Linked DNA regions of Pelodiscus sinensis. The protein of the gene in region 2 binds, or shares a complex with, the protein of the main gene of each other region. Links are inferred from orthologs where the notes say so. Each region holds a gene or a part of one and is shown on either strand. Other genes may lie near its edges.

Evidence for each region. The genes of interacting proteins can lie anywhere in the genome.
Region 1: SNRPF (region 2) and RBMX2 share a complex: the UniProt entries of both Homo sapiens proteins name them as parts of the minor spliceosome. The link is inferred for Pelodiscus sinensis from reciprocal best matches to the Homo sapiens genes SNRPF and RBMX2.
Region 3: SNRPF (region 2) and PLRG1 share a complex: the UniProt entries of both Homo sapiens proteins name them as parts of the minor spliceosome. The link is inferred for Pelodiscus sinensis from reciprocal best matches to the Homo sapiens genes SNRPF and PLRG1.

What each region holds. Positions count from the first base shown.
Region 1 is NC_134723.1:2,297,802-2,305,510, reverse strand, and holds the start of RBMX2 (RNA-binding motif protein, X-linked 2), read right to left. Parts: upstream 3,021-7,709; 5' UTR 2,898-3,020; coding exon 2,893-2,897; intron 2,342-2,892; coding exon 2,226-2,341; intron 1,179-2,225; coding exon 1,127-1,178; intron 876-1,126; coding exon 746-875; intron 1-745. UniProt on the Homo sapiens protein: Involved in pre-mRNA splicing as component of the activated spliceosome. As a component of the minor spliceosome, involved in the splicing of U12-type introns in pre-mRNAs.
Region 2 is NC_134711.1:81,493,928-81,500,820, reverse strand, and holds the start of SNRPF (small nuclear ribonucleoprotein F), read right to left. Parts: upstream 3,001-6,893; 5' UTR 2,870-3,000; coding exon 2,867-2,869; intron 2,735-2,866; coding exon 2,609-2,734; intron 1,819-2,608; coding exon 1,754-1,818; intron 1-1,753. UniProt on the Homo sapiens protein: Plays a role in pre-mRNA splicing as a core component of the spliceosomal U1, U2, U4 and U5 small nuclear ribonucleoproteins (snRNPs), the building blocks of the spliceosome.
Region 3 is NC_134715.1:56,845,407-56,852,266, forward strand, and holds the start of PLRG1 (pleiotropic regulator 1), read right to left. Parts: upstream 3,021-6,860; 5' UTR 2,873-3,020; coding exon 2,864-2,872; intron 1,502-2,863; coding exon 1,395-1,501; intron 1-1,394. UniProt on the Homo sapiens protein: Involved in pre-mRNA splicing as component of the spliceosome. Component of the PRP19-CDC5L complex that forms an integral part of the spliceosome and is required for activating pre-mRNA splicing.

The DNA.
Region 1 (7,709 bases), on a different chromosome or scaffold from region 2:
TTAAACAACTGTATATTTAACTATTCTAAGGTAAATATGTCGTATAAAAATGGTTAAAATACAAACATACGTATTATCAGGGCTCGCCAAACCGCGGCGAGCCCTGCTCGCCAGCTGCACTGTCTGGCAATCTGCGCATGCGCAGATCGCCCGCACCCGGCTCTTCCGGGTTGTAATCTATTCGCCTCGGGCGAGTCAATTGCATTATTTGTCGAGCCCTGCGTATTATAATCCTAACCAAAGCGCAAATCATCAACCACTAACTAATATCACCCACAGATTACCAAAGGATAACTCTACACCCCACGCCTCTGTCATGGGTCTAATATCCCCAAATCCATTCTTAAAAAATAAAATCTATCTCATCAGTAGTACAAAAAATGTGCAAACTAAAAAACAAACAGGGCATAACTATCTCCATGAAAAAGGCGGCCACAGAAGTGCTAGTCACAGAGCATTCACATGAACACATCCTGAAATCAAATGGTACCAGAACATCTCTGAAGGTTGGATCCATCCCATGGGTCATATCTACATCACTTCTCTTGTGGCACTAATATACTGCTGTAATTCCCTCTGCGGACACAAATGCTTTTAACTGCGCACCCTTGGATGTGGAAAGAATGGTGAACTGAAGCTTTGGGAGCCCTAAGGTCATAGCAAATAATAGCCACACACTAGCAGCCAACCTGGGCACAAACAGGACTTCACTTAAAGGCTGGTCTCTTTTCTTTCACATACCAACCTTGATCCCATTAAAGTTGTCAACAGCAAGTACGGTGCTTCTCTGATCTTCATAGCAGATAAAGCAGAAACCTTTCGATTTTCCAGTCTTTTTATCTCGCACCAGATTAATGTTCACAATTTCTCCATATCTAGAAAGAAAAAAGTGAAGTCACAAGACACCAAAGGCGAGGGAAATGACAATTCCATGAAAAACTACTAAGAAAAGTGTAATAGAGAAGGAAAAGCCACCAGCCCTCGAGATTTCTCCTGCAGTGACTGAGGTGGGGGGATGTCACAAGAGGCCATGTGTCATCCAATATCAAGGCTTAAACACCAACTGTTTGGCCTCATGCTACGACCTTACTAAACTACTGAGAATGAAGAATGAAATTCGACTTACTGTGAAAACACGCAAATGATATCACCTTCTGTCAACTCATAGGGGAGACCTCCTGGGAAGAAGACACAAATGTTAATGCTGCTCAGGCTCAACAGGACTGCAGTACAGCTCTTATCCTTGGCCTTGCAGATTATCATGCCTGTCCCCCTCAACCCAATATGCCTCTCTTGACTCCCACACTCTAAGGTACGTCTACACTACAAGGTTTTTGCGTAAAAACCCGCAGAGCGGCCACATCTCAAGCGCGTTTTTGCGCAAGAAAATCTACAGTCAATCGACAGAACAGAGGGTTTTTTGTGGTGTAGGTAAACCTCCTTCTACAAGGCATAGCTCCTTTTTGCACTACAGCTGTTTCGCAAAAAGGCATCTGTGGACGCTCCATCGGAGTTTCTTGTGCAAAAAGAGCCTATCCAAAAAAGCACAGGTGCTCTGATGGCCATTCTGTGAATGACAATCAGAGCTTTCTTGTGCAAGAGCATCCATGCAGTGTGGATGTGCTTTGAGGTGTGGACGCGCTTTTGCTCAAGAAGTTTTTGTGCAAGGATTCTTCTGCAAAAGACTTCTTGCACAAAAACCCTGCAGTGTAGACATAGCCTAAGCGACAATTCTTCAAAGTTTTAAGTCACTTGATTTAATCAGAACCATTTCATAATACTGATGAAGTTCTACAGAACTTCTATTTTAACTTAAAAATGACCAGTAGTCCTGTGTCACTTTAGAGACTAACAAAAATATATAGTATCATGAGCTTTTGTGGGCAAGACCCACTTTATCAGATGAGTTGGAGTGGAAATAATAGAATCCAAGATATATATAAACAGCAGAAATACCACTTATCAATTGCAGGACCCATGTTAATGAAGCTAATTAAGTGGACTGTATGTGTCCCATTCATAGCTGCCTTAAACATTCGCATTTTCACATCAAAAGCTAACTGGTTACCTTTTTAAACAGGATTTTACATCCCTAGACCAAAATATGAACCTGGGAGGGCTAATATTGTTACAGCACGCAGCAACAGGGAAATAGACTGACACACAGGGCTCATGATACAGAACCTGGGGGAACCAGCACCAAGACTGCTGCACAAATCACATACCCACAAAGATCCAGGCGCTATCACTGTACTCTGCATGCCAGGACACCTTCTCCTGTACGCCCAGCTCTGCCTCCCGCTCATTCAGCTCATTGATCAGTTTCACCTTCGTCAGGGGGCTGCAGTGCAAAGGCCAAACAGTTACCAAGGTAGGGACCTCGCCCTGTCCAATGCCTCCTCCCACTCTCAGCCCCTCCACATATCCCCAGGCAGCCCCCCCCACACCTCCAGTATCCCCTGTGCTGCCCCCCCGCCCCCCATATCCCCACCCAGCCCCCCCACACTCCAGTATCCCCTGTGCTGCCCCTGCCCCCCATATCCCCACCCAGCCCCCCCACACTCCAGTATCCCCTGTGCTGCCCCTGCCCCCCATATCCCCACCCAGCCCCCCCACACTCCAGTATCCCCTGTGCTGCCCCCCCGCCCCCCATATCCCCACCCAGCCCCCCCACACTCCAGTATCCCCTATGCTGCTCCCTGCCCCCATATCCCCACCCAGCCCCCCCACACTCCAGTATCCCCTATGCTGCTCCCTGCCCCCATATCCCCACCCAGCCCCCCCACACTCCAGTATCCCCTATGCTGCTCCCTGCCCCCATATCCCCACCCAGCCCCCCCACACTCCAGTATCCCCTGTGCTGCCCCCCCGCCCCAGGCAGCCCCGACCTACTTCATGGCGGTGGCTGCTCAGCCCAGCTCTCGCGCACGCGCAGTTCCCGGGCGCTCCGGAAGGGTGGCGCGCGCCCGGCCCAGCAGTAAGCCCCGCCCCGGGGCGGAGCCGCGCGCTCCTCGCTGGGGGGGGAGAGGCGCGCGCGCGGGCCGGATCGAGCCCTACGGGGCAGAGGAGCGAGGGGCGCGGGCACGTGGCCAGCCCGGCCCCTGATCGCCACCCGGCACGTGCTGCCCCCGCCCGCCCCGCGCCCCTAGGGCCTGCGCCCCATCCCCAGCCCCATCACTGCACTCTAAGCCCCCAGGCCCTGCACCCCATCACCCCACCCAGCGCCCGCCCTGCGCCCCACCCCGAGCCCCCAGGCCCTGCGCCCCATCACTGCTCCCCATCACTGCTCCCCTAGGGCCTGCGCCCCATCACCCCACCCAGCGCCCCCAGGCCCTGCGCCCCATCACTGCTCCCCTAGGGCCTGCGCCCCATCACCCCACCCAGCGCCCGCCCTGCGCCCCATCACCCCACCCAGCGCCCGCCCAGCGCCCCACCCCGAGCCCCCAGGCCCTGTGCCCCATCACTGCTCCCCTAGGGCCTGCGCCCCATCACTGCTCTCGTAGGGCCAGAGCTCGCCCTGCGCCCCACCCCGAGCCCCATCACTGCACCCTGAGCCCTGCGCCCCATCACTGCACTCTAAGCCCCCAGGCCCTGCACCCCATCACTCCACCCAGCGCCCCCAGGGCCTGCGCCCCATCACCCCACCCAGCGCCCACCCTGCACCCCACCCCGAGCCCCCAGGCCCTGCGTCCCATCACTGCTCCCCTAGGGCCAGAGCCCGCCCGCCCTGCGTCCCACCCCGAGCCCCCGGGCCCTGCGCCCCATCACTGCTCCCCTAGGGCCAGCACCCCACCTCAAGCCCCCGGGGCCTGCGCCCCATCACCCCACCCAGCGCCCGCCCCGCGCCCCACCCCGAGTCCCCAGGCGCTGCGCCCCATCACTGCACCCAGCGCCCGCCCTGCGCCCCCAGGGCCTGTGCCCCATCACTGCTCCCCATCACTGCTCCCCTAGGGCCAGAGCCCGCCCCACCCCGAGCCCCCGGGGCCTGCGCCCCATCACTGCTTCCCTAGGGCCAGAGCCCGCCCTGCGTCCCACCCCAAACCCCCAGGCCCTGCACCCCATCACCACTCCCCTAGAGCCAGAGCCCGCCCTGCGCCCCACCCTGAGCCCCATCACTGCACTCTACGCCCCCAGGCCCTGCGCCCCATCACTGCACCGCAGCCCTCAAGCCAGCACAAATGCACAGTGCCCTGCACCCACCACCCCACCCGGCACCCGCCCTTTCCCGAAATAGCAGGCACGCTATTCCGGTGTCCTTATAACCCTTGTTCCACGAGGTTTAAGGGATTTGTGGGAATAGTGCCTTATTTTGAAATTTGGCATTGTCTACACTGCACCACATTTCAAAATAAACTCTTTTAATCTAGACTCGGAATAAGATGTGCAAATTGCGTAGCTTATGCTGACAGAAGGATGCTGCATAGACGCACCCTAAGATGCCACAGGACTTCTTATCTTTTCTGCTCCTGTTTAATCAGTTAACCAGTTAAACTTAACTTTTAACCAATTGACTAATCAAATGGGATTTTACATCCCAAATTCAGGCAGCTTTGAAAGTCACCTTGAATAGCTAGGTCCCCCAGTAAATACTGAGCACTAGATTCTTCATTGGCATGTGAGGAACGGGAATGGGGGCATGGTGATTCATTTAGATAATGAATGGACGTGACATCAGCAGCACAGAAAATTAGGTTAAAAAAAAACCCAACCGATTTTGAGGCCAGAGATGTATTCCTCAATTCATTATTTTTAGCAGGTGATTATCTCACCGCTGCTGTGTCTGAGTCACTGAGCTGTGAGCCGTGTGACTGACACCAGACCAGAGAGCTGCCCTTGTCCCCCTGTAGCTCAGGCATTGGGGTTCTGATGCGGCTGGGGTTGCTCATTTGCTGGATGGTCCCTAGAACATTCCTCCACGGCAGCCGGGACTGGCTCCAGACATAACCTGAAAACAAGGAACTTTCTTTCTACAGTGTGCAGAGCTGGGGAAAGAGGTATGCTTGGTCACTAGCTTCTCCTTTTCCGGAGACACAAGGTGGGTAAGATATTACCTTCTATGGACTAACATCTGTTGATGAGAGACAAGCTCTGTGTAGTTCAAAAGCTTGGCTGTCTCATCTACAGGAGTTAGTTCAATAAAGGATATTACTTCACCCACCCTGTCTCTACTGTCTTGGGCTACTGTCCACAGCTACAACACTTGAAGCAGAAATATCTCAATTCAGGTTATTATAGCAACGTTCAATTGGAAAGGATCCCCCGTATGCTCTAGGACCAGAGAAAAGAATAAATCATTCACCTCTCCATAGCTAGTGTAGAACACGGGCAGCTGCGTAGCAGCAACACTGCAGGACAGGAAGTCAAGATGGCTCTTGTATTGATCTAAAACTGCAAAGAGAACATGAGTTACATTCATAGATTCCAAGGCCAGAAGGAACCACTGTGATTATCTAGCCTGACCTCCCATATCACAGGTCAGAGAACTGCTCCCCAATAATTCCTAGAGCAGAGCTTTTAGAAAAACAGCCCATCTGGATTTTAAAGCTGTCAGTGACAGAGAATCCACCATGGCTGTTTGTAAACTGTTCCAGTGATTAATTGCCACTGATAAAAAGTTATGCCTATCTACAGTCTGAATTGGTCTAGTTTTCACTTCCGCTCATTGATTAAATATTGGACCTCTCTGCTAGATTAAAGAGCCCATTATTCAGAACTGGATCCCCATGTAGCTAGATAATTATAGACTGTCATCCACTCATCCTTTGTCTCTTTGTAGACTGAGCTCTTTGAGTCTCTCTCTGTAAGGCATATTCTATAAGCCTTTCATCATTCCCATAGCTCTTCTCTGAAATAGGGATGTGACAGGTAACAGGTTAACCAGTTATCCGGCATGCATTGCCGTTAACGGGTGATGCTTACTGAGTAACAGTTAACTGATACCTGGGAGCAGCCTGTTGCAGGAGGAGGACTGTTCTAGCCTCACCAGGCTCCTGCGTGGGGCAGCCCCATGTGGGTTAACCGATTAAATGGGATTTGACATCCCTACTCCGAACCCTCTGCAGTTTATCAACATCCTTCTTGAATCATGGATGGCAGAACTGGCCATAGGATTCTAGCTGCTGGAACACCAGTCCCAAATGGAGGAAAAATAACCTCTCTACACAACTCAAGATTATCCTGTTCAGGCACCCTGGGATCGCATGAGCCCCTTTGATCACTGCATCACCCTGGGAGCTGATGCTCAGCTGATTATCCCCCTTCCCCCCCAAAAAAAATTGTTTTCAAGAGTCCCCGCACCTGTAAATACAGCGGACAATCTTTGTTCCTACAGGCAGACGTTTAAAGCTAGCAGTACTAACATGCAAAGTGTTTGCTTATGTCCATTCACCTCAGCAATCTGGATCGCTCTGTATGAGCCACCCGTTCAACTTTGATGTCAGCTTCAAACTTTATCAGGGATGATTTTCATTCTGTTCGGATTGTGTTCAAATAGCACAGGGCCGAGAACAGATTGCTGCAGGACTCCATTAGGAACTTAGACTTGGGGATTCCCTATGTCCAGTTTCATATGGAAACCACTCAGTTCACTGGTTGTTAATTGGTGTCCTGCATTGTTTCCATCTCTGATGGCCTGGGCAGTTCAGGGTGCAGTCCATGCCAGTGACGTGCCTGTCCTGTTCCTCCCTGCTTTGCTGCTGTAGCTCCCAACCTGGGCTACTCACAACCAGCTTACCAGCACATAGACCACACTCTGTGTGGAACTATAGGCCCAGGCCAGCAGCAGATCCAGCTACACACTGAGCTCCATCAGCCTTATTTACAACTAGCAAGATGACCCCAACACAGCCCTAGTCTTTAATTTCCCCCAAACGATATGCCCTGAAATGTCCAGCCCTCTCCAGCTCAGAGAAATAATGAAGTTCATTGCTCCAGAAAAGAGATAAAACTGCACCAACAGCTTCCTAATTGAACTGGGGGTAAATACACCCTTCCCTTAAACACAGGGCTGAGTTGGGTTGTGGTAAGAGGAAAGTGCATTTATTTACAAAATAGACAGAGGAGTAAGTCAGTTCACATATAAGACATTAAAATAGAGTCACGAGTAAAACAAAACCTGCTTCTAAAAATCCCAAACTTAATCTAGCCAGGTACAATCTTTGCCTAAACAGGTTTCTCGCCTATATTCAATTTCCAGACTCCACCCCTGCCCTTTAGTTGAAGGACCTCTCTCTCAGCTCACACAAGCTCCATTTTCATAGGTCTGTCTTGTGATGGACACCAAAGGTGACTTGTGCCTTTCCTTATAGTTTGCAAAGTTCAGCAATGTTTCCAGAGGCAGGATGACTTCCTGCTGTTCTTTCCTCTCTGTGGGCTTCCCGCCCCCCTGAAGATAAATAGGGTTTCCACTGGTTGTTTCCACCATTCTTGATTTACACAGGAGACAGGTAGTTAGCTGTCTGTGCCATTCTCTGCTGTCTGGGCAAACTGTATAGCCTAATATAAATGTGTAGCCATAATTTCTGACAGTGTTCATACGTACGTTTCACATGATTAATCACCACTGTGTCCTTAGCTTTCAGAAAAGACCTCACTCGATACACTTTCATAATACAGTAATACTGTGTACTGCCAGTTGATTATCAACTGAGTTGGTGCAGGCCAGGGTGGCAGAGGCTATGCTGCCAGCCAGCAGCTGCTCCCCAGGGCTG
Region 2 (6,893 bases):
CCCATGCTTAACTTCAAGCATAGGGATGTCGATGAGCAGATGACTATATGATTAAGTAATAAGCCTGGGCTTATTAGTTAATCCTTTTGACTACATGTATTCCCCCCACTTTAGAGACAGTGGAATATGGGGGGGGGGGGAGAACGGGAGCTGGCTTTAAGCAGGCACCTCATGAGCACTGGATCCGCCTCCTCCCTCCCACCCCCACACTGCTGCCTTGCACAGAGGGTGAGGGGGCAGAGGGGAGCCAGTATGCATGGGGAGCAGGCTGTTAGGCTGGCTATCCACAGACCCATCTGCCTCTTCCCACTCTTGCTGCCTCCTACAGCGCTCTGTGGAGTCACCTGCTCAGCCACCTGGAGGAGCGGGTGTCACAGAAGAAGCTACCACAAAGCAGCCTCTCCACAGTGGACCTAGGCTCACTGCAAATGGAGGCTGCTCTGCAGCAGTGGCCCCTATCTGCGGGAGGTCCAAGCTCTCTGTGAACAAAGAGAGCTCAGCCCCCCTGCAGACAGGGGCTGCTGTCAGTGTTCCCTCTAATCTGCTCTGCAGCATATCTTTACAGGTGATTAATCATCCCCACCCATTCAGTCAGCTCCCTGAGCCTGGGTAGAGCTTATTAATCACCTATGAAGCTGTGCTTAGAGGGAACACTGACTGCTGCCACCAAGTGCTGCTGCCTCTAATAGTCCCTGGGGACTATCAAATAGTCATGCAACCACTGGAATTTGATGTAGTTATACAACTATTCAAATTACTCACTAACATCCCTATTCAAGCACATAAAGTTGCAGGAGCTGGACCTTAATATATATGCAAAAATTTGTTGATACTCTTTTGAAAATCCACTCTACCTCCTCAGACACATACACTCACTGGAGTCTCTGCTACCTCTCCTCATTTAGAGACCCATCATTTCTGTGAAACTATTCAGTGCCTAATTAACTTCTTGATATTATTGGTAAGATTTTTCTCAACTATTGACAAAAGATTCATTGGTTATCTGGGATCTTATTTATGTATATGAAAGAAGTTACAAAAAGGAGAAATTATGAAATGGGTATTGTAGTTGGTTCTTCCCTCCCCTGATAATACAGGTTGAACATCTCTTATCTAGCACATTTGGGACCTAACCAATCCTGAACTAGGGAGGTTGCCAGACTAGAAAAGTTTCCTACCATAGCCCCCAGCCGCCGACTCTGCCAGCTGGGGATTTAGGGGGGGGTGGGGGGGGGGGGGAACGGGTATGGAGGACTACCTCCAGCCCGACAGGGCTGCCTGCTGGGTTGCTGGCCCTGCTGCCCCGGCCAGACTGCCTGCTGCTGTCCCAGTCTTGCGCTGCCAGGTGCTACCCTGACCAATCCCAGTGCCACAGGCTATCAGAAACTGCTGGCTCCAGCTCCACTGCTGTGGGCTGCTGCCAGCCCTAACCTCTGCCCCATCCCATTGCTTCAGCCCTGCTCCTCCTGGATTACCCTCCTGCCACTAGGCTACCAGAGTTCTCTGATGAAGGAACTTCCATGGTCTGGCTGGACCAGAGAATTCCAGTTTTGGGAGGTGCAACCAGTATGATTTTTATTATGATCTGCCAGAAATTGCTTAGCACAGAATTAGAAACTGCAACTAAAGTATTTAATATTGCAAATTTTCAGACTGTTTTAGGCTGACTATTAAGGAATTGAAGAGTTCTGTCCATCTACAAATGTAATACATCCACTACATAACTTACTAAATAATCTATTTTGATAATTACCTTATCAAAACTTCACCAAGGTGTCCAGACAATGCACCATCTATGTATTCTTCTGTGTTTGCAAGCTTTAAGGAACAAAACATTAGCACAATTGTTTGAAGAAAATTCTCAGCCAGCAATCAATAAACTATTGTCAGGCTAAAGACATTCTACAAGGACTACTGGGCCCTTTGGGAAACTGGGTCTGTTTAATAGTAACTTGTACCTCATTAGAACTCTTTGTTTTTATTATGCATGTAGCTCATTATATTTCACTTTTCATTGAAGAATCTGACCAGAAGAGTGTGCCATATATAGCAAAATATGGTCTGTTGCTTTAGAACTAGTCTACAAACCAAACTTTGTGTAAATCCTTTTCATCAGTTCTCAAGCCAATCATACCTTCATGTTGGAGATGCTGCTGCCCTGCACAGAGCACTGCAGGAGCAAGGGTGTAGGTGGCTCCACATAGAACTAGGCAGTGCAGAAGCAGTAAGATCTGGGTCTACTTCTGCCAGGTCTTCTTTGATAGCAGGCAAGTCACTCACCTCTGATGCCCTCGACCCCGCTATGAGGCCCCTGAACAACCCTCACGCCGCAAAGGGGACCCCGTGTCCCCTTTTGAACAACCTTGTCATAGGCACCCCCCGACTCCCCACGGAACGGAGTTGCCAACTCTCCCGAAAGGTAGGACCGGACACCATTTGCGGCAATGGCATCCGGTCCGGGAGAGCTGGCAACCCCACACGCCCACGTTTGAGCCGCCCCCGTCTCCCCCCGAACTCCTTCCGCAAGCCCAGGCTGCGCGAGGGGGCGGGTCTCCCGGAGCCCTTGGGGCCAACGGGGGAGGGGGGGCGCGTCCCGGCTCCAACTGACCTGCATGTTCATGTAGCCATCGACGGACACCAGGTAGCCCTTGTACTCCATCCCCCACTTCAGCTTCACCATCACCGGCTTCCCCGTCAGCCCGTTCAGGAAGGGCTTGGGGTTCAGGGGCAAGCTCTGCGAGTCACCACAACAGCGGGGTCAGCGCGAGCGCGGCCAGGGCTCCCCCGGCACCTGCCGCCCCTCACCCACCCCAGGGCGCCCCCCCCCCCGGCAATCCCACCCGCCTCGCGGCGCGGCCCCCCTCACCATGGCAACGCGGCCTGGCACAAGGCAGCGCTGAAAACAAAAATTACTCGCTGGGCCGCACGTGCGCCCGCCGGAGTCCGAGAGAAAGCCAGGAAGTGACGTCCGCTCCTTCGCTTCCGGGAGTGCGCGCTGACCTCCCGCCTTTTGCCCGCCCACGAAAGCCTGAATCCCGTTGGGCCCGGGGGCTAGCGCGCGAACGGAAAAGTCGGGTGCTGAGTGGCTAGACCGAACGACGGGGCGTGGCTAGTGACGCAACCCTCGCGGAGCTAGAAGGCCACGCCCCTTCCCTTGCATAGGGGCTTCTTGTAGCAGCTGGTTTTCCCTACCGTAATCCTCTGTGTGCGCGGGCTGGAGTTCGATTTGCGCTTTTTTAGGGACTTTATGATGGGGGAGCAGAGGAGGGAGCCAGAGTGTCTTCTAGGGCCCAGGGAGGAGCCAAGCACGTGGCGCCCATTGCAGAGTCAGGGGCCGGTGTAGTGGTTCCCAATCTTTTTAATGCTGCGGACCCACAAACCTGTTCACAAACTTTTGGTGGGTTGGTAATATTTTATTGGCCTATTTGCATATTTATTATGCTAATTAATTTAAGAGGTCATGTGTTATTTTACATCGCATAAGCATGCACACAATACACGTCATTGGAAGAGATCAGAGTTTGCAGTTATCTACAACACTAAAAATTCTCTAAAAGAATCCTTTCTTATCTTGAGTGATTAACACCTATGTAAACTTTCTTTGAAATGTAATTATGCCCAGGAAATCTCATGATACCACTTACACTTTTTGTTAGTCTCTAAAGTGCTGCAGGACTATTTGTTGTTTTTTAAGTTTTTTTCTATTACAGTGTAACTTGGCTGCCCCTCTGAAACTTTTGGACATGCAAATGTCATGAGGTAGGCCTTTTGTTTTGCCTGCTGCCCAGAGGGAAAGAAGTTAGACACCCTAAACTCTCTCCTATCCCCACCACACTGAACTAGTCCCCACCTCTAGAAAGAGGGAGTCACATAGGCCCCCCCCCCCCAGTCTCCATGTCCCACATGTGAACTGGGCAGAGCAACTGCAGCCTACCTGGGACCCCTGGAGAAGGTAGAAGCTGCTGCAGCATGAGAAGCCAGGATGCTCCCACCTGCCTCTAGGACCAGGGGACGCACATGGGACAGGTGGGAAGGTCTCACATCCCCACAGCGAGCCTCTGTCAGTAGCCAAGGCCCTCTGACCATCCCTCCGCAGCTTCCCCAGCAACAGTTTGGTCCGTCCCACCCTGGCCATGCCGCTGCTCCATACTAGAGGAGAGGAGCTGAAGTAAACACTCGGCTGCGGGGGCAGAGCCATGGCAGCTAATGCTCTGTGGGGCAGGCGAGGTATTGCAAGCCAGCCTCCTGTTCTCTTCTCCCCAGGTAGCCCCTGCCTGTCAAGGCATGGGGATGGCCTGGCAGTGTGCCACAGCCTGGCAGCCAACGGTTCATGGCCTGGCACTGGTCCACGGACTGGTGGTTGGGAACCACTGCTTTAATGTACTTACAGTGACCCCCATTACTGCAGCCTAATGACACCTCAGAAGTCATCCTCTGTAATGCATTCACCTGGCTGCATCCATGCTGCTAGGGATGGAGTGAGGGTTTTTCTTGCGCAAGAAGGGGCAGTGTAGACAGCTCCTTCTGGCGCAAGAGCCTCTTCCGCAAAAAAGGCGGCTCATTAGGTATGCAAATGAGGCTCAGCGATATTCCATGCTTAGCCTCATTTGCATATTTCTTACGCAAGAACCCACCAGTGTAGACATAGCCCTAGTGTCATCCTGACCCAGTGCACAGAGCTGCTCCACGCAGTCCTGTGACTTTGATGATTTATTCATAGACTTTTTCATGCCCCATTATTTTTCCAGTTCTGGCCAGAGCAGGCAAGTGCCTCCCAAACAGTACTAAATTTATTTTGTTCTTTTTGGTTTTGAAAACTACTGAACTATTTTGCCTACAAATATTTCCAAATAAATAATAAATTCATTACTGAGCTGAGAATGAGCCTGTTACATTTGAGCAAAAAAAAATTATTTTTTTTAATGAAAGGTCATTGCAGGATTGGGGGTAAAGTGGTCATTGCCCCCAACTTAGAACTTCATTTTTTATATTTCTGGATGACATGAAATTCGTCCACTGAAACTGATCCAGACATTAAAAGATATTCCTCCACCCCCCACTCTCCTTGTCTGTAATAACCTGGGAACTCACAGGGTTACAAATCTGCAAACCAGATTCAGCCTCATCCTAGGATGCGTCTACACCCTTAGCTCAAAATAAGATGTGCAATTTGTGCAATGCAATTTGCGCTACGCAATTTGCGTATCGTATTTAGATTCTTATTTAGTCTTTTTTTCAAAATAGGCTATTTCAAAATTTGGCACATCTACAGGTGCCAAATTTCTAAATAAAACACTATTTCAAGACATTCCTTATCTCTCATGCAAACAGGTTTACAGGGATGCTGAAATAGTATGTCTGCTATATTTCGCAATAGCGGACACATTCAAAAGACCCGGGGATAGCTATTTCCCCCAAATAGCATTGCAGTGTAGACATACCCCTAGAAGTGAATGTAGTGTGAGTGTATATATTTATCCACAAGGTGGCATTGCTTATCTTGCACAAGGACTGTCTGGAGATGTACGGGGTAGCCTTCTGGTACAAAACTCTTTTATATTCTTCATATAAAGCCAGCAAAGCACAGTGGCCTGGATTTCTGTATAACAGAGTAATTGATAGGGCAGGATGTTTTAATTAATATGAGCATACCATTATAAAAACTAAAACTGGGGAAAAAGCCATCTAATCTGTGTCCGTGCTGGTGCATGATTAGAAGCTGCAGTAAAGTTTTAATTCTCAGACAGTAGAACTACTACTACTTCTCTTGGCAATAGAATTCATAGAATGCCTTTCCTAACTTGGTTACACTTAATGAACTTTAGGTATACAGGCAGTCCCCGACTTACGCGGATCCGACTTATGTCGGATCCGCACTTACGAATGGGGCTTTTCTCGCCCCGGAGCTCACGGGCGGCGAGTCGCCACCCGTGTCCTCCGGGGTGAGAAAAGCTTCTCCCGGTCTCCCTGGTCTGCTGGGGGGGGGTCCAGCAAAGCCGCTGGACCCCCCCAGCAGACCAGGGACACCCAAGCAAAGCCGCTGCCTGGGCGGCTTTGCTTGTTTGCCCGGGCGCAAAGCCGCCCAGGCGGCGGGACCCCCGCTGCCTGGGCGGCTTTGCTTCTGTCCCCCTGGTCTGCTGGGGGGGGTCCAGCAAAGCCGCTGGATCCCCCCAGCAGACCAGGGACACCTGAGCAAAGCCGCCGCCTGGGTCCCTCCGCCTGTGCGGCTTTGCTCGGGTCTCCCTGGTCTGCTGGGGGGGGAGGGGGCGCAGCTAGTGTGCCCCCCCCCCCCAGCAGACCAGGCTTTTGTTGCGGGACGCCTCGGGTAGAGCAGCTGGGGTGCTGCCGGGTTGGTCCTGTGGGAACCTACCGGGCGGCGCCCCAGCTGTTCTGTTCCAGGCTCCAGATTCAGCAGCTGTTGAAACTGATCAGGCTGATTCCAGGAAGCTGGGGGCAGAGCAACTCTGCCTCCGGCTTCCTGTAGTCAGCCCCTGGTCAGTTTCAGTGGCAGCAGCTGAATCTGGAGCCAGTTCCGACTTACATACAAATTCAACTTAAGAACAAACCTATAGTCCCTATCTTGTACGTAACCCAGGGACTGCCTGTATTGCTGCAGTTATAACTCCTAACTCCTTTCATCCCTAATGAATATTGAGTTTGTAACATTTAAGTAATCCATGTGTTAGCACAGCAGTCTCATAGCGGGATTTGATCAGACAAGTACTTCCCCCAATATATAAATAAGTTATTTTGAGACTGAGGCTACTGTACACAGTAAGTATGATTTTCTTCCACTTAATATTCAATATATTCAGCTTTTTGTGTGCAAAATGAGTATATTCAGAAAACAATTATAGTTCCAAGTAGCGTCCATTCCCCTATGCATCATATCC
Region 3 (6,860 bases), on a different chromosome or scaffold from region 2:
GGTTAATGGGTGAGGCTTACTGGTTTTGGTTAACCAGTGAGGGTTGGAGCTGCTCCCCGCCCACTGCGCATAGGGGGGCTGTTTCAGATGGGGCACTCCAGACTGCCCAGACCAGCCTCTGTCCACGTCAGGGGTGGGGGAGTCCACAAACAGGCTAAAGCAGTCCCCTGGCAGCCTCACCTTTAATAGGTTAATCAGTTACACATTACAGTTAATCAACTAAATGGGATTTTACATCCCTAGTTCACATTTCCATGGCAATCCCTCTACGACAGTGGTCCCCAACCTTTAGAGGCTCCGGGGCGCCCGGGAGGTGGGGCCACTCACGCGCTGGGCACCCGGGAGGTGGGGGCCACTCACGCGCCAGGCGCCCGGGAGCGGGGCCGCGCGTCCTGGGGCACGTCAGGGGACTGGGATGCCCTTGCACCCGGTGCCGGTGTGTGCCCTAGGGCCGGGGCTGGGGCTGCCCAAGCGCTTTGTGCCGTGGGCCCGGGGCTGGCGCTGCCACCCAAGCCACGCGCCTGGAGCTGGCACCAGCGCTGCTCGAGTACCGCGTGCCCGAGCGCCCGCACGTGCCCCAGGGCTGGGGCCGCCCGAGCGCCGCGCACCCAGCGCCGGTGCATGTCGCGGGCCAGGGCCTCCAGTGCACCGGGGGCAGGGCCAGCCCAAGTTGTTGGCAGGCGCACACGAATGCCCCAGCGGGTGCCATGGCGCCCGCGGGCACCGCGTTGGGGACCACTGCTCTACGACAAAGCTATTAAAGTCCTTGCCACTGAACTGACAGCCAGCCAGTCAGCCTTGCAAGCTCCCAACCCAACCAGACAGGCTTTCAGAAGATAAGACTCCTAGCTCCACAGCAGAGAATCTATAAGCCCTGGGAACCTTAGCTTCAGCCTGGATTTCAAGACTCCCTGCTATGAAGCTAGGAGCCTGGAAGTCCTGATACTGACTTCCACACTCTGTGTATCTAGGACAGCCTCACCATGAAGACTGCCCTGGGATCAAGAATCTCTCAGCTTCCGGACTCTGACTAGCTGCTGGCTAGTAATCTGGAAGCCCTGAGATCATTGGGCAGGGTGGTCTTCAGGGAGGGCCGCCTGAGAGCTACAGACCTTGGGAGCTACAACAATGGCTGACTGAAAATGACATTCTTGTCAGTTTCTGGACTACTAAATGTCAATTTCCAACAGCAGTTGCCTGTCCCCAGAATCAGTATTTTATTTTAGAAGCACCAAATATAGTTTCCAAAATTAATTTTTAGTTTATAATGAAATCTAAACTGGACCAAATACAAAAAAATTAAATGAAAGCAAAGAAACTGGAAACAGTTGCAAAGGAGGGCCTCACATTAATGTTTTTAGACATACCAATAATTTTATGATAGTTGTTCTTACCTTACATCATCCAATGGTATAGGCTTTCCATTATCAGCCACAAACATATCATGAGTTCTCTTCAAGGATCTGAACACTAATGTGTGCACAGAGTGTTTTTGCACCTCCTGCAGCAGAGGAGATACATTTAATTATATATATGGTTTAATTATATATATGATAATTCAATGAAAAGCCTGAAAACTACCAAGAAAATTAATGATTCTTGTCTTCCATATGTAAGAAACGAACTCAGTTTAGTGTATGCAGTGGTGCTTGAGTGGTAAAAACTATAATTTGGTGTAAGAGACAGTTTCATTTTCCCCATCCTCAAACTTAAATCACCACTTAATTATTTTTTCCTTTCATGGGATACTGTGAGAAAAAAAATCTAGCAGGACAAAACTTTGATCAACATTTTATTTCCAACTGTAGGCACATAAGTGAATTTAATGAAGACAAACAAAAAAGGTTTTTATTTACACTTGCCAGCTACATTTTTATAAATAACCAATAAAGCGAGTCAGGAGAAAAAAAGCTACTCAAGAATTTATTGTTGAGTGATTGAAGGATATTTATTTCCTATATTTTGACATGTGAGGTTGACAATTTGTGTTTGAACAGTTATCAAACTTTTAACTTTTTGAATCAACATCTATTGTCATTCAATAGTCTGAGCCTCCATCAATAGTTTCCAAGAAGCATGAACATTTAAATTCTAAAAATTGGAAAAAGCTTACAAATGAAAATGGATATTACTAATTGGTATAACAAAATTATAGTTCTACAGAGCCTAAATATAATTTTAAAACATAATTAACAAGATAATCTGCTGGTCTGGTCTGACTGAACACTGCAATTCCTATTGTTTGATGCTAATGCCACTTGCTTTTGTAAAGTACTTTGAGATCTATGGCACCTAACAGGCCATGTAATCAGATAATAAAAGAAATTAGTCTGATGGTTTTCTGTCCAGTTTTACCTGCCAGACCTCCATATAAACGCAGCACCACAGGGGCAAATACTGGCTGCGGGGGAGGGGACATCCCATGTAGCAATTAAAATTTTGGTGAGACACATGGGGAGGGAGGGTAATCAACAGTCCCCTACGCCGCGCCATACCCTTTGCTACTGGTCAAGCCCCTTGGTAAAGCCAGCAGAGGCCCAGTGCCGGAGAGCGGCTGTCGGGTTTAGGGCTGACAGGGCGGCAGGAGGGTGCTCACGTTACCGCCAAGCGGCAGAGACGGCGACACCTTTCCCGCAGGTTTAAAACCTTTTCTGCAGGAACGCGGCTCCCCCCGTCCCGAGGGCACAGACCCCGCAGGGGGCGTATCGGGAACGCGGCGCGGAGCTAATCGCTGACACAGGGGAGGCCGAAATCCCCCCGCCCCCCGCGTGCGCGCGTTGTTCAGGCCGCGAGCTCCTCGCTCCGGCAACGGCAAGCCCCGGGCCCGGGTGCTGGAGTTTCGGGGGCGGGGCCGGTCTCTCACCTCCACCATGGTGCCCGCTCCCCCAGCAGGAAACCGGCCGCGCTGTCCGGTCCGCTCTCCTATGGAACTACTTCCGGCGCCTGCCCGGCTGCCCCGGAACTGACGCGCTGAGACATGCGCGCGCACACGCGCGGCACTGTAGCGCTGAGGGGGCGGGAGGCACTAGGAAGAAGGCGGGAGGAGCAACGGACCTAACGGGCGTGGGAGGCCCGGCCCCTCCCCGGCGGAGGCGGCTCGCGCTGCTTTGGGAGCCGGGGGTTCGATTCCTTCCTCCCCCCCCCCCCCGATGCCCAGTGCAGCGGGGGGAGGTGCCGGGGGCGCTGAGAGCTGCGGAAGGATGAAGTGTTTCTGGCTCCCTGCAAAAGATGCGCGGCGCTAGGTGCTGGCGTGAGGATGCAGGGGGGGCTCTATACAGGCTTTATAGTTTGGTTGAGTAGCTCTCAGCACCCCGCAAGGCTACCAGTCTGCAAAATGCACAGCTGCAAGGGTACCCCCCAAATTACCTTCAGCAGCTTTGCAGGCACTGGTGGCCAGGCTCATCACCACCCCCTGCCTGTGGCCTGAGCACAGCAGAGCTGTCTCTAAATTGGGTAAAACTTAATCAAAACAAATAGTCTAGTAGCACCTTAAAGACTTAACAAAATATGTAGATGGTATCATGAGTTTCTGTGGGTACAACACACTTCTTTAGATGCCTGCAATAGATCCAATAAAAGTCCAGAGCCAAGAATAAATAAGGGAAAAGGGAGGAAGAAAAAGAGAAAAATGACAGTGAACAGATTGTTCAAGTTACAAGAGGCTGATAAAAACAATTAGCACCTCCGTTGGTTAAGTCATTAGGATGTGGAAGGTAGTGTGTGGAGCCCACCCCACCCTTTCCGGAAGCCCCACCACTGCTTTGCTGCACCCACACCACCCTGCTCTGCTCCCTCCTCGCCTCCATTCCACCCCAACCCCTGAGCAAAGTGGGCTAGGAGACTAAACGGGGGCCTAGTGTTGGTAGCAGGGATCAGGACCAGCCCCATACTCACTGGTGGCAGCAGGAAGCAGAGTGATCCAGCTGCAGCCTGCTCCACTCCACTAGCTTCCAACCACATCACACTGCTTTCCACCACCACCAGCAAGTTCAGAGTTAGTTTCACCCTTTTTCCTAAACCCCTTCCCAGGACAACAAGGCTATAGCTACACTGGCGGGTTATTGCACATGATCAGCCGTTCTTCCACAGAGCATCCACACTGCCCATCTGCTCTTGCGCAAGAAGATTTACAGTAAAGCGTGGTAGGAGAGGACTTCTTGTGCCAGAGCTATGCTCTTTTCTAACAGGTGTAAGCTCTCTTGCACAAGAGGGCAGTGTGGATGCTTGGCAGGGGTTTCTTCCGCAAGATAGCCCTTTGGCTAAAATGGCCATCAGAGCTTTCATGCGCAAGAGAGCATCCACACTGCCATGGATGCTCTTGTGCAAAAGCACATCTTGCACATGGCATTGTGAACGTGTTCTTGCACAAGAACACTTGCGCAAGATGTGGGAACCAGCAGTTGGGCTGGGTCTGGGTCTCTCCACTTCTTGCTGCTGCTTGTGAGTGTGGGGGTGGGCCCAACCTCTGTTGCTTCCCTGCCTGGCTGCCCTGCTCCTGCCTACCCTCATTGATGGACTGCCCCTACTACAGAGTGTCCCCCACGGGGGGCTGTGTAGGACACCAGAACTGCTAAGGACAACTTTGGCCTTCCACTATAAATATTGTTGCAGCATCTCTAAGTAAGCTTGTATGGTTTAGGGCCATTGATTTTAGATGAGCCTGGTTCATCAAGCACCAACAGCACCTTTTGTGGTGACACAGCATTCACAGCATGTTTTGGGTGTTGAGGCAGCTGGGGATAGATGGAGCAAGCCACTGGCGGTGAGCCCTGTATATAGGGCAGCATAACTTTCAGGAGAGTCCTTTCTAGTTTCAAACACCAGAGTTACTGAAAGCATTGTTCTATCTGAGCTGTGGGACGGCCACTCATCATCCCATTAAGACCTGCACAGGCGCTGAGGATGGCAGCGAAAAGAGATGCCTCTACCCAAACCCCAAAGCTACCACAGATAGGGGAGAGGTGCTCTACCTTACTTGCTGGAGCAGGGAGCTGTGGTGGATGGGACAAAGGCCCCCTCCCTACTGGCCCCAGCACGAAGCAGCCACAGCTGGCAGGGAAGCGCCACTCACTGAATCCCATTAGGAAGAAGCCATGGGTAGCAGCAAGGGTGCCATTTTTGGGAGAGCGAAATGGGGCAGCAGCTGGGTGTACTGGGACACAGCTTGCTTTTCTTCCTGTTCCCCTGATGATAAGGGAATGAGGGGAAAGTGCTTGCATTCCGTGAATTACTCCTCTGCCCCCTTCCTTCACCAGCCAGGATTGAGAGGCATGCATGGAATCCAAGTACTTTCCCTTCGTTCCCTTATCATCAGGGGAACTGGAAGAAAAGCAAGCTGTGTCTTGGTATGCACAGCTGCTGCCCTCCTCCCCCTCCACACACACCCCATGCTCTCTTGAAACACCACCCTTGGCCAGCAGGGAAGCCATCATCAGGTTCAGCTCCTCGGCAGAGGATAAACGATTCTATGCATTGAGCACTGGAACTGCACTCTCATTGACTGGGAACCAGCCAATGGGAGCTGGGGGCAGGCAGTGTATGTGGGCAACAGCAGCACGCATGGTGGAGCCTCTTGCCACTTTCCTCATGAATTGGAGCTGATGACCATTTCTGGGGCACAGTGTGATGCCCGAGGCAGGCAGGCATCAGGCAGCCTGCCTTTGTGCTGCTGACCAGGAGCCTCCATGTAAGCCCATCACTCAACACTCTACACCACACAGAGTCCTTCCAACTTGGAGCCACCTCCTACACCTCAAACACCTCATTCCCAGCCCCACTTCAAAGCCCATGCCTCCAGTCCAGAGCCTGTACCCCCTCCTGTACACCAACCCTTCCCAAAGCTGGAGTTCCCTCTTGCATCCCAAAATTATCATCCTTAACCCAGCCCCAGAGTCTGCACCCCCAGCCAGAGACCTCACATCCCTGCACTCCAATCCTCTGATATAAGCCTGAACCCCTCAGATTCAGCTCCATACGAGAATCCATACCCTCAGCCAAATCCCTCCTGCACCCCAATTTTCTGCTCCAGGCCTGAGCCCCTACCACACTCAGAACCCCTTGACTCCATGAATTTTGTTATGTGTACCAATATGAAGGTGATGTGTTAAACATTACCTCTATATTGGTGCATGCAACAAATTTCACTTCACTAGAGGTGGGAAGAATTAGAGGTAACATTGGGAACCCCTCTAGTGAGTGAACTTCCCCTGGCACCCTGACAGAACAGGACTCCTTTGAATGAAAAGCTGTAGCCAATTGAAATATGCATCTTGATCATGTGTTAGAAGATAATAAGGGAGCAATGCTTTGCAAACCTGTTGACAGTTTTTACAGACTACCCCCAAACAGGCTGAGAAACAGCTTTAATTTAATTTAGGCTCAAAGCCTGACCCTTACTCCCAGTCTGCTTGCCATAGAGTAAGACCTCACACATTTTCTTTACCTAAAATGGTTTACTGAATTGATGAGGAACTTTAAAGTGCATACACATTGTTCACTAGCCTAAACAATTCAGCCAGATGGCAAAAAAAAAAAAAAGTTAATAAATGACTGAAAAGAGCTGTTTAGAAGATACGTTCTTATGCAGCTTTAACTGCAACAACACCATGTTTTATCCAGACTACCTTGTGTCATTTCTACTCCTCAATCTCTGGGGATTATTTGATGAGGAATACATCTAGCCATGTAGCAACACAGAGGTTTTGTATAAACAACCATTGCACCGAGCTATTAACCATCCAAACATAGCAACTGCAATTACAGATGCTAAACAGAAGAGTGCAACAGTTAGCTTTCTAAATACAGGCAGTCCCCGGGTTACGTACAAGATAGGGACTGTAGGTTTGTTCTTAAATTGAATT